2 linked regions of the Lonchura striata genome follow. The protein of the gene in region 2 interacts with the protein of the main gene of each other region in a pairwise test. Links are inferred from orthologs where the notes say so. Each region holds a gene or a part of one and is shown on either strand. Other genes may lie near its edges.

Region 1 (3,748 bases), on a different chromosome or scaffold from region 2:
GTTCAAGGAAGGTCTGAAAAAGAATAAGACAAAGTCAAACATTTTACTGGCTCTTAATTTCTGCCCAATCCTGCTAGAGCAGATAGTGCCCTACCTAATTTTGGATAAACCACTCTTCTTACTCCCTATTTTAGCAAGAAAAGAAGGGATCACATGTGATTATGGGATTACCAAAGCCTCAGCCACATCCCTCCCTGAAAGCTTGTACTAAATTTAAGTAATGAGGAAAAGTTGATTGCTTGGTGTGACATCACTAAAGTAACTCAGGATGACCCTTGCTGGAAGATTTATCCCTGGAGGATGTTTAGGATTGTGTGTGCCCTCCACGGAGTGATAAACAGCACTTACAGTTTTACCAGCATTGTCCAAACCCAGGATCAGGACACAGTACTCATCTCTCTGGAACATGTATTTATAGAGCCCTGACAGCAGCGTATACATCCTGCTCCTGCAACAAATGCCAGGAAATCAATTAACAAACAGCTTGTTCCCAAAAGCCTCTCATGCCACAGCACAAGTTTTTCCCGATGCCAGACAAACAAACGATGTTACTCTTTCATCAGTACCTCTCATATTTAGGCAATCCCAGGAAAAATCAGAGATCTAAGAGAGATCATGAAAATAGCTCACAATCAAATTTGGGGTTTAAAGGGGAACTGAGGAAGGACTCAAACACCTCTTGCAGTAAATGTAAGACCCACAGAAAATGAAGTGGGCTCACACAAATACAAAGAGCAGGTATTTGGAGCAGGGATCTACAGAAGCTCAGAGCTGGGTGCGCACACAGAGGCACAGGGATGCAGGGAGCACTGGCAGCAGGCGCTGCAGCTGACTCACGGGCATTGCAACACCCCTTCTGTTCGAACACAGATAAAGGGAACCTCCAGGCACAGCCTTTGAGAGGCAGCTGCCTCTAAGCAAGCGCGTGGTTAAACAATCACTTTGAAGTCCAACACCATTACCTAAAGGGAAATAAAAGCGTTTCAAAGCAGGAATCGGATGGGGGTTTTACAGTAAGGGAGGACAGGGCACGAAGGGGCTTCAGTCCCACAGGTACCGGGGCCGCCCTTGGCCCCCAGCTCCTGCCGTGCCCCGGGCAGGGGGAGCCCCGGCCGCTCCCCTCTCGGGACAGCCACTGACCCCGGGACAGCCACTGACCCCAGGCCAGCCCGACCGCCGGCCTGCTCCTCCCTAAGACGGGAGATCCTCCATAAGATCCGGGATTTCTCGCCCTTTCCCTCCCTGTCACAGCCAGTGACGGCTGAAGGAGATCACCGGCCCTACCGCCATTTCCCCCTAATGGCCCCGCGTCACGTCCCGGGCCAGAGACAGGTCCCGGCCCGAGCTCCCGAGGGCAGCGGGCGAGGAAAGAGCCTCGAGCCCGAGCCCCGCGGCCCGTCACCTGATCCGGTGCCGGTGTCAGCGCCGGAGCTGGAGTCGCCCCTCACGACTCCCCAGCGCCACCAGCCACCGCCATTTCGCGCCCAGGACACTGGGAAATGTAGTCCTGTCGCCGCTGCGGTGGCGGTGCGGATGGTGTCTGTGGACTACAACTCCCGGAATGCCCAGCGCCCGGTACTGCGTGGGTGACGCGCTGCGAGCGCAGCGGAAGTGGGGGCGCTGCGGCCGGAAGAGGGGTGTCATGGCGGGTGCCATGGCGGCGGCTCGCCGGGACTGAGGCTGCTGAGGGCGCGGTGCGGCCGCCGAGGGGCCAGTGGCGGCTCAGGGAGGTGCCGCAGCTCTGGGGCTGAGGGAGCGCCCAGGCTGCGGGAGGAGCGGTGCCGTGCGGGGGCCCGGTGGGCGAGAGTGGACTCCGTGGCGGTGGAGGGCAGGGCCAGGCCCGGCCTCTCCTCGGACTCTCCCGTCTCCTCTTGTCGTCTGTTTCCAGCAGGAGCATCGCCCTGGGCATTTCCGAGGGAAAGAGCGGGACGGCGGGTAGATGTCGCTTCTGCAGGCGAGGACTTGTTATCCCAAAGTACTTGAGTAAACTCTGAATGTTTTGAGTTCGTGGAGAGAACGCGGGCAAAAGCGCCTTTGTTGTGCTGAAAATGGATGAAGAGAGTCTGGAAGCAGCGATCCAGACCTACAACGCCCAGCTGGAGCAGGTGGAGCTAGCGCTGGGGGCGGGCCAGGACCCATCGCAGCAGTCGGACCTGATGCAGCTGCAGGAGGATTTGAAGCAGCTGATAGAACTGACCGAGTCCAGCCTGGTGGCTGTGAAAAAGAGCAAACTTCTGGCCACTCTGGACACAGATGCCTCCTCCTCCTCCCCAGCAGGTCTCCCAGGGCAGGATTCCCACCGGGAGAGCTCTACCCAAGATGAGGAATACGCTGCTTTTAAGGAAGCCATTGCTGGGCTTGGAGCAGATGAGGAGCCTGCAGCTGATGGCAACGAGATCTCCTCGGAGAGAGAGGGAGAAACGGGGGATAAACCCAAATCCAAGTGCAGTGAAGAGGAGGAGGAGTCTGAGAGGGAGGAGGAGGAGGAGGGGTTGAGCGGGATGAAGGTCAAAGCCCCCTACTACAGCTCCTGGGGAACCCTGGAGTACCACAATGCCATGATTGTGGGGACAGAGGAGCTGGAGGACGGCAGTGCAGGGGTCAGGGTGCTCTACCTGTACCCCACCCACAAGTCCCTGAAGCCCTGCCCCTTCTTCCTGGATGACAAGTGCAGATTTAAGGAGAACTGTCGGTAAAGAGAGAGGGGTGGGAGAGGCCTTGTCGTTCAGAGGGTTAATCCTCCTCCTCAAGTGCTCTGTGGCTTTCTTACCCAGGGAGATTGTGCCTTAGTGTTTTTAAAATGTGCTGTGGTGAGCAGTGGCACCAGTTTGGCTGCTCTCTATAGCTGATGCACAGATGAAGTGGAAAATCCTGTGGGAAAGATGCAGAGATGTTACATAACTGAGTGGCTGAATTAACGACTGATGAAGTATTTTAAAACAAAACACCCAAGTCTGTGGGTAATGCACACATGGCAGTTGCACAGGGAGGTTGTATAGGCTCCATTTTTGTGGATCTTCACCAGGATCAGCCCCAGTGAAGGTGCTGGGCTGGAGCTGGGCTGAGATCCTCGCCTTTGTGAAGGTGCTGGAGCCCTGCCTGTCTCTGATCCTGTTTATCCCCATAGTCAGGAACTTTTTAATTGGATGTGTCACTAGCAAGGAAGTTTAATTCTCTGGGGTGAGACACATTCTTTGTACCATGACATAAATAACATGTTTAAAGTGAAACATGAACAACTTTATAATTACAACAGCACGTGGTCACACCTTCCTGATTATGGTGAAGGTTCCTCACCTCTGACACTCGTGTGCATTTCTTTTGAGGAAGGAAGGGATTTTCATTTGAAAACTCCTGTTCCTCCTTCCCTGCAGGTTTTCCCATGGTCAGGTGGTGTCCGTAGAGGAGCTCCAGCCATTCCAGGAGCCCGACCTGAGCAGTCTGGGGGTGGGCTCAGCCTGCCTGGCCAAGCACAGTGATGGGATCTGGTACACGGCCAAAATCACCGGTGAGGGGGGCAGGGGCTTGCCCAGGGGGAAGGTGGAGGCTGAGGCTTATGTGGGTCTGTAACTTGGCATTGTGGTTAATGACAGAAAAACATAAACTCTGTGGCAAGATCTTGACCTAGCTGAGGAAACTGTCTGAGTTTTGTGAGGCTAGAGAGAATTGGCTGGGAAACAGGAGATACAAAGAGCAAGAATGTGGAAAGGAAATGACTACGAGGTCATTAACTGCTCCAGGGAAGAGG
Region 2 (3,748 bases):
GCTCAATCTCCAGGCTCTGCAGGGTGCGGCGCAGTTCCGTGATCTCTGACTTGCCAGTCTGTATCTGCTGGGTGTGGGTGGCAACTTCACGGTTCAGCTCATCAGTCTGAAAGGAAAAACAACTGTAAAATCACATACAAATGTATTAAAAAAATCCATAATTTTGAGAAAGGGTGGTAGGGACCTGCCAAGGCAGTAATGCTGAGGCAGTGCATTGCTGTGCTGTTCATTGGTGTGACCATACCTGAGTGAAGAACCAGGCCTCAGCATCCTTACGATTCTTCTCAGCCAGAGCTTCATACTGTTCCCTCATCTCAGCAAGAACTTTGGTCAGGTCGATGCCAGGAGCCGCATCCATTTCCACATTGACTGTTCCACTCAGCTGCTTCGAGTACTCTTTCATTTCCTGCATGGGCAGCAGAGAGAGGACACAAAAAGATCAGGCTCTCTCCTCTCACACTGCTCCTGCCCGCAGCAATCCCTGCTGTGGTACACAGTACCTGTGCTATCAAGTATCACAGATGGAGCACACATAAAACACTTATCACATTTTCTCTCTCATTACAACAGCTTCCCTATCTCTGTGTACTCATACAGGACACACGTATTTACATGTGACTTACATGTATGTTTCATTTGCAAGAGCTAAAATCCAAAGGGGAGTGATCTCCATGCACTGCCAGGACTCTCACCTCTTCGTGGTTCTTCTTCAGATAAGCCAGCTCCTCCTTCAGTGTCTCAATCTGCATCTCCAGGTCAGTTCTGGACAGGGTCAGCTCGTCCAGGACCCGGCGCAGGCCGTTGATGTCAGACTCCACGTTCTGGCGCAGGAACAGCTCATTCTCATACCTGCAGTTCAAAAAAGAAACAAGCACTGGAATGTTTCTGTGGTTGTATTCAACAGAGCTATAAAATGATCACATATGGGAGCAACAGTGGACTGTAGATGATACAGATTTAGAAGTGTAAAAGCAATAAAGCTGTTCCAATATCCAGATACAGCATAAAGGAAGCACAGACAAAGCCATATGATTTTGTTCTTGAGGGAGACATGACATTTCACCTTGCAGAACATAATACTGATTATCAGCATCAATAGAAACATTGTCACACAGGACAGGAGTTTTGCAGTGTCATCCCAGATTTGTGTAGGAAAGCACAGGTGGGGCAGGGCTGCCGGGGACACAGGAGGGAAAAGAGAAACCTGCAGGTGCATTCCTGCCGGGAAGGCAGCTGCACATGGACCTTTATCATCTGATGTGCTGCTGAGCCTGGGAGCTGCAAAAGCCCCACCTGACTCTAAATTTCAGACTCCAGCAGAGAAATGCTGAAGCCCCACAGCAACCTCTTCCTCCCACTCAGTTCCTTCTAAGTGAAAATCCCACCTATTCCTGCCTTCTTTCCCCTGTGATTCAGGCTAGTAAAAATATTTGAGTGTCACAAAAAAATGAAGACACAGGCTATAACTGATCCTGCAAACAGCTCAGTGATCTGAATGCTGTGTTCTGTCAGGTTTATACTCTGAATTGGTCCTTCATCAATGGATTCTGCTTGCCAGGATGTTTTGTATTGAAGTTACTAAAGAAAAAACTGTTTAGAGAGAGTGACAAGTAGAGTGAAGACAAATGAGCTTCAGGTGAACTTACTTCAGTCTAAAGTCATCAGCAGCCAGCCTGGCATTGTCAATCTCCAAAATGACCCGGGAATTGTCAATGGTAGCAGCAAGGATCTGGCAATTAGAAACAGAGAGAAAAATTCCTGTGAATAATGGTAAAATATCTGATCCACATTCCATGAGCAAACCAGAGAGCTGTGATACTCCATGCAAGACAAATTAGAACCACAGGGAAATGGGAAATGTGTTTGTACTATACCTGATCTTATCTGTAGCCAGGTGAATTATTTTTCCAGTCTTTGAGGCCTACCTGTCACATTCTTTACTATTTGATTTCTGAATAAATATATTGATAATTCTAAACACATTTTGCTAACTTTTACTGCAATCATTTTAATTTCAACAAACATCACATTGTCAGGGTAAGATATTTGTGTTTAAATTGAGAAGAGGCTACTCCATTCTGCTAGAATGCTCTGGACCTCGATGTATTTGGGATGAGGAATTCACTACTTCTTTTGTAATTATTTTAAAGACATGGAACATGCAGTTCCAAAATTCTCTTGCCTTCTTAAAACTCCTCTACATATGAATGCCATACCTTGTCTCGGAGCTCTTCAATTATCTTGTAGTAATTGCTGTAGTCACGGGCGGGGCTGGTGGGAGCTTGTTTCTGGTACCAGTCTCGGATTTTCACTTCTAACTCTGAATTGGCCTCTTCCAGGGCTCGTACCTTGTTCAGGTACGAAGCCAGCCGGTCATTCAGGTTCTGCATGGTTATCTTCTCATTGCCAGAGAGGAGGCCATCGCCACCAACAAAGCCACCACTGAAGTCAAATCCTCCACCAAAGCCAGAGCCCCCTCCAAAGCCAGAGCCCCCTCCAAAGCCACAGACTGCTCCCCCTCCAAAACCTCCTCCATAGCCCCCGCCAAAGCCGCAGCCTCCTCCTGAAGAGGAGACGTACCTGGCTGAGGAGATGGAGACACCCCGGCCGCCAGAGCCGCCGTGGATGCTCGGGGCCCGGCAGGTGCCTCCGACGCGCACCGAGGACAGGCGAGAGCTGCTGCCCCCGGCGCCCCCAAAGCCACCCCCGTAGGTGGAGGAAGAGCTCATGAAGGAAGTGGCCATGGCTGAAGCAAGAGCAGGAGCAAGGGTCAGTTATGCAGCCCGGCAAGAGAAGACAGCCTGTGCCTTCACTGCCCTCGTGCCTCTTTTATATGCTCACGATCGGGCGTTGGGAGACAAACCCCACTGCAGCCCTCCCTCCAAAATTCCTCCTCCCTAGAGGTGAGGCCAGCTATGATGACATTCCTGACAAGCAGTGCTGGCAGCACATCGCAGGGGCTTGGGCTTGGGGTTTCTTTTTTTAATTAAACAAAAGGCATGAATCAGATGATGTTTTTTCTTCAGGCTATAGTTCTGAAACTTGGAGTTTACTTCTCTGACATTTAAGAATGGAAAAACAAAGTGAGTTCAGCCCCACCCACTTACCTATTTACAATGCTTACCATGGCTACCTTCAGAAAATCAACTTTTTCTAAAATTGAGGCTTAAATAAAATTCTCTTTTCATTGAAAAATGTACAATCATCTCTTCATCTCACCATTATTCCTTTTCTATCTGTATTTTTTTCCTTTAAAATTTTGGAATTGAATTAGAAATGTTCTTATTGATTTTTTTCTTGGAACTAATATTTAGATTTTTGGAGTCTGAATTTTTATTACAAAAAGCATCTATTCATGGCACTATGTGAGGAACAATCAGCATCCATCAGTGTGCAAGGGAGAGTGGAAACAGTAAATTTATTAATCATTATGAAATAGTTCAGAAAGGTATCACAGCTCGAAACAACTCAGTTAAAAGAGTAAATGTGGGAGGACTAAGATCCTGTTACTGTACAGAAAATATAAAGAGAATGGGTTTAAGATAATGCTGTTCTTATAGCAATACATGTGTTTAATGCCAATGTGTTTAAGGAAATGGAGTAGTATTTGAAAATAAGTCTTGAGAAACACTCAAAGAGGCACCTTAATCCTTCATTTAAAGCAGGAGTCTAAACAGAAATACATAATTGAGCTGATAAATTGCCAGTGAAATTCAGGAATTCATTCATTCAGCCCTGTTCACCCTGC

Evidence for each region. The genes of interacting proteins can lie anywhere in the genome.
Region 1: the proteins of keratin, type I cytoskeletal 19-like (region 2) and ZGPAT interact in binary tests that used the Homo sapiens proteins (3 or more experiments, as listed by UniProt). The two-hybrid records come from large-scale screens. The link is inferred for Lonchura striata from reciprocal best matches to the Homo sapiens genes KRT15 and ZGPAT.

The regions. Positions count from the first base shown.
Region 1 is NC_134619.1:7,098,370-7,102,117, reverse strand, and holds the start of ZGPAT (zinc finger CCCH-type with G patch domain-containing protein), read left to right. Parts: upstream 1-1,633; 5' UTR 1,634-2,048; coding exon 2,049-2,692; intron 2,693-3,374; coding exon 3,375-3,508; intron 3,509-3,748. Other genes in the region: ARFRP1 (ADP-ribosylation factor-related protein 1), read right to left, coding at 1-13, 349-441. UniProt on the Homo sapiens protein: Transcription repressor that specifically binds the 5'-GGAG[GA]A[GA]A-3' consensus sequence. Represses transcription by recruiting the chromatin multiprotein complex NuRD to target promoters.
Region 2 is NC_134627.1:6,767,955-6,771,702, reverse strand, and holds the start of keratin, type I cytoskeletal 19-like, read right to left. Parts: upstream 2,745-3,748; coding exon 2,217-2,744; intron 1,730-2,216; coding exon 1,647-1,729; intron 850-1,646; coding exon 693-849; intron 407-692; coding exon 245-406; intron 107-244; coding exon 1-106.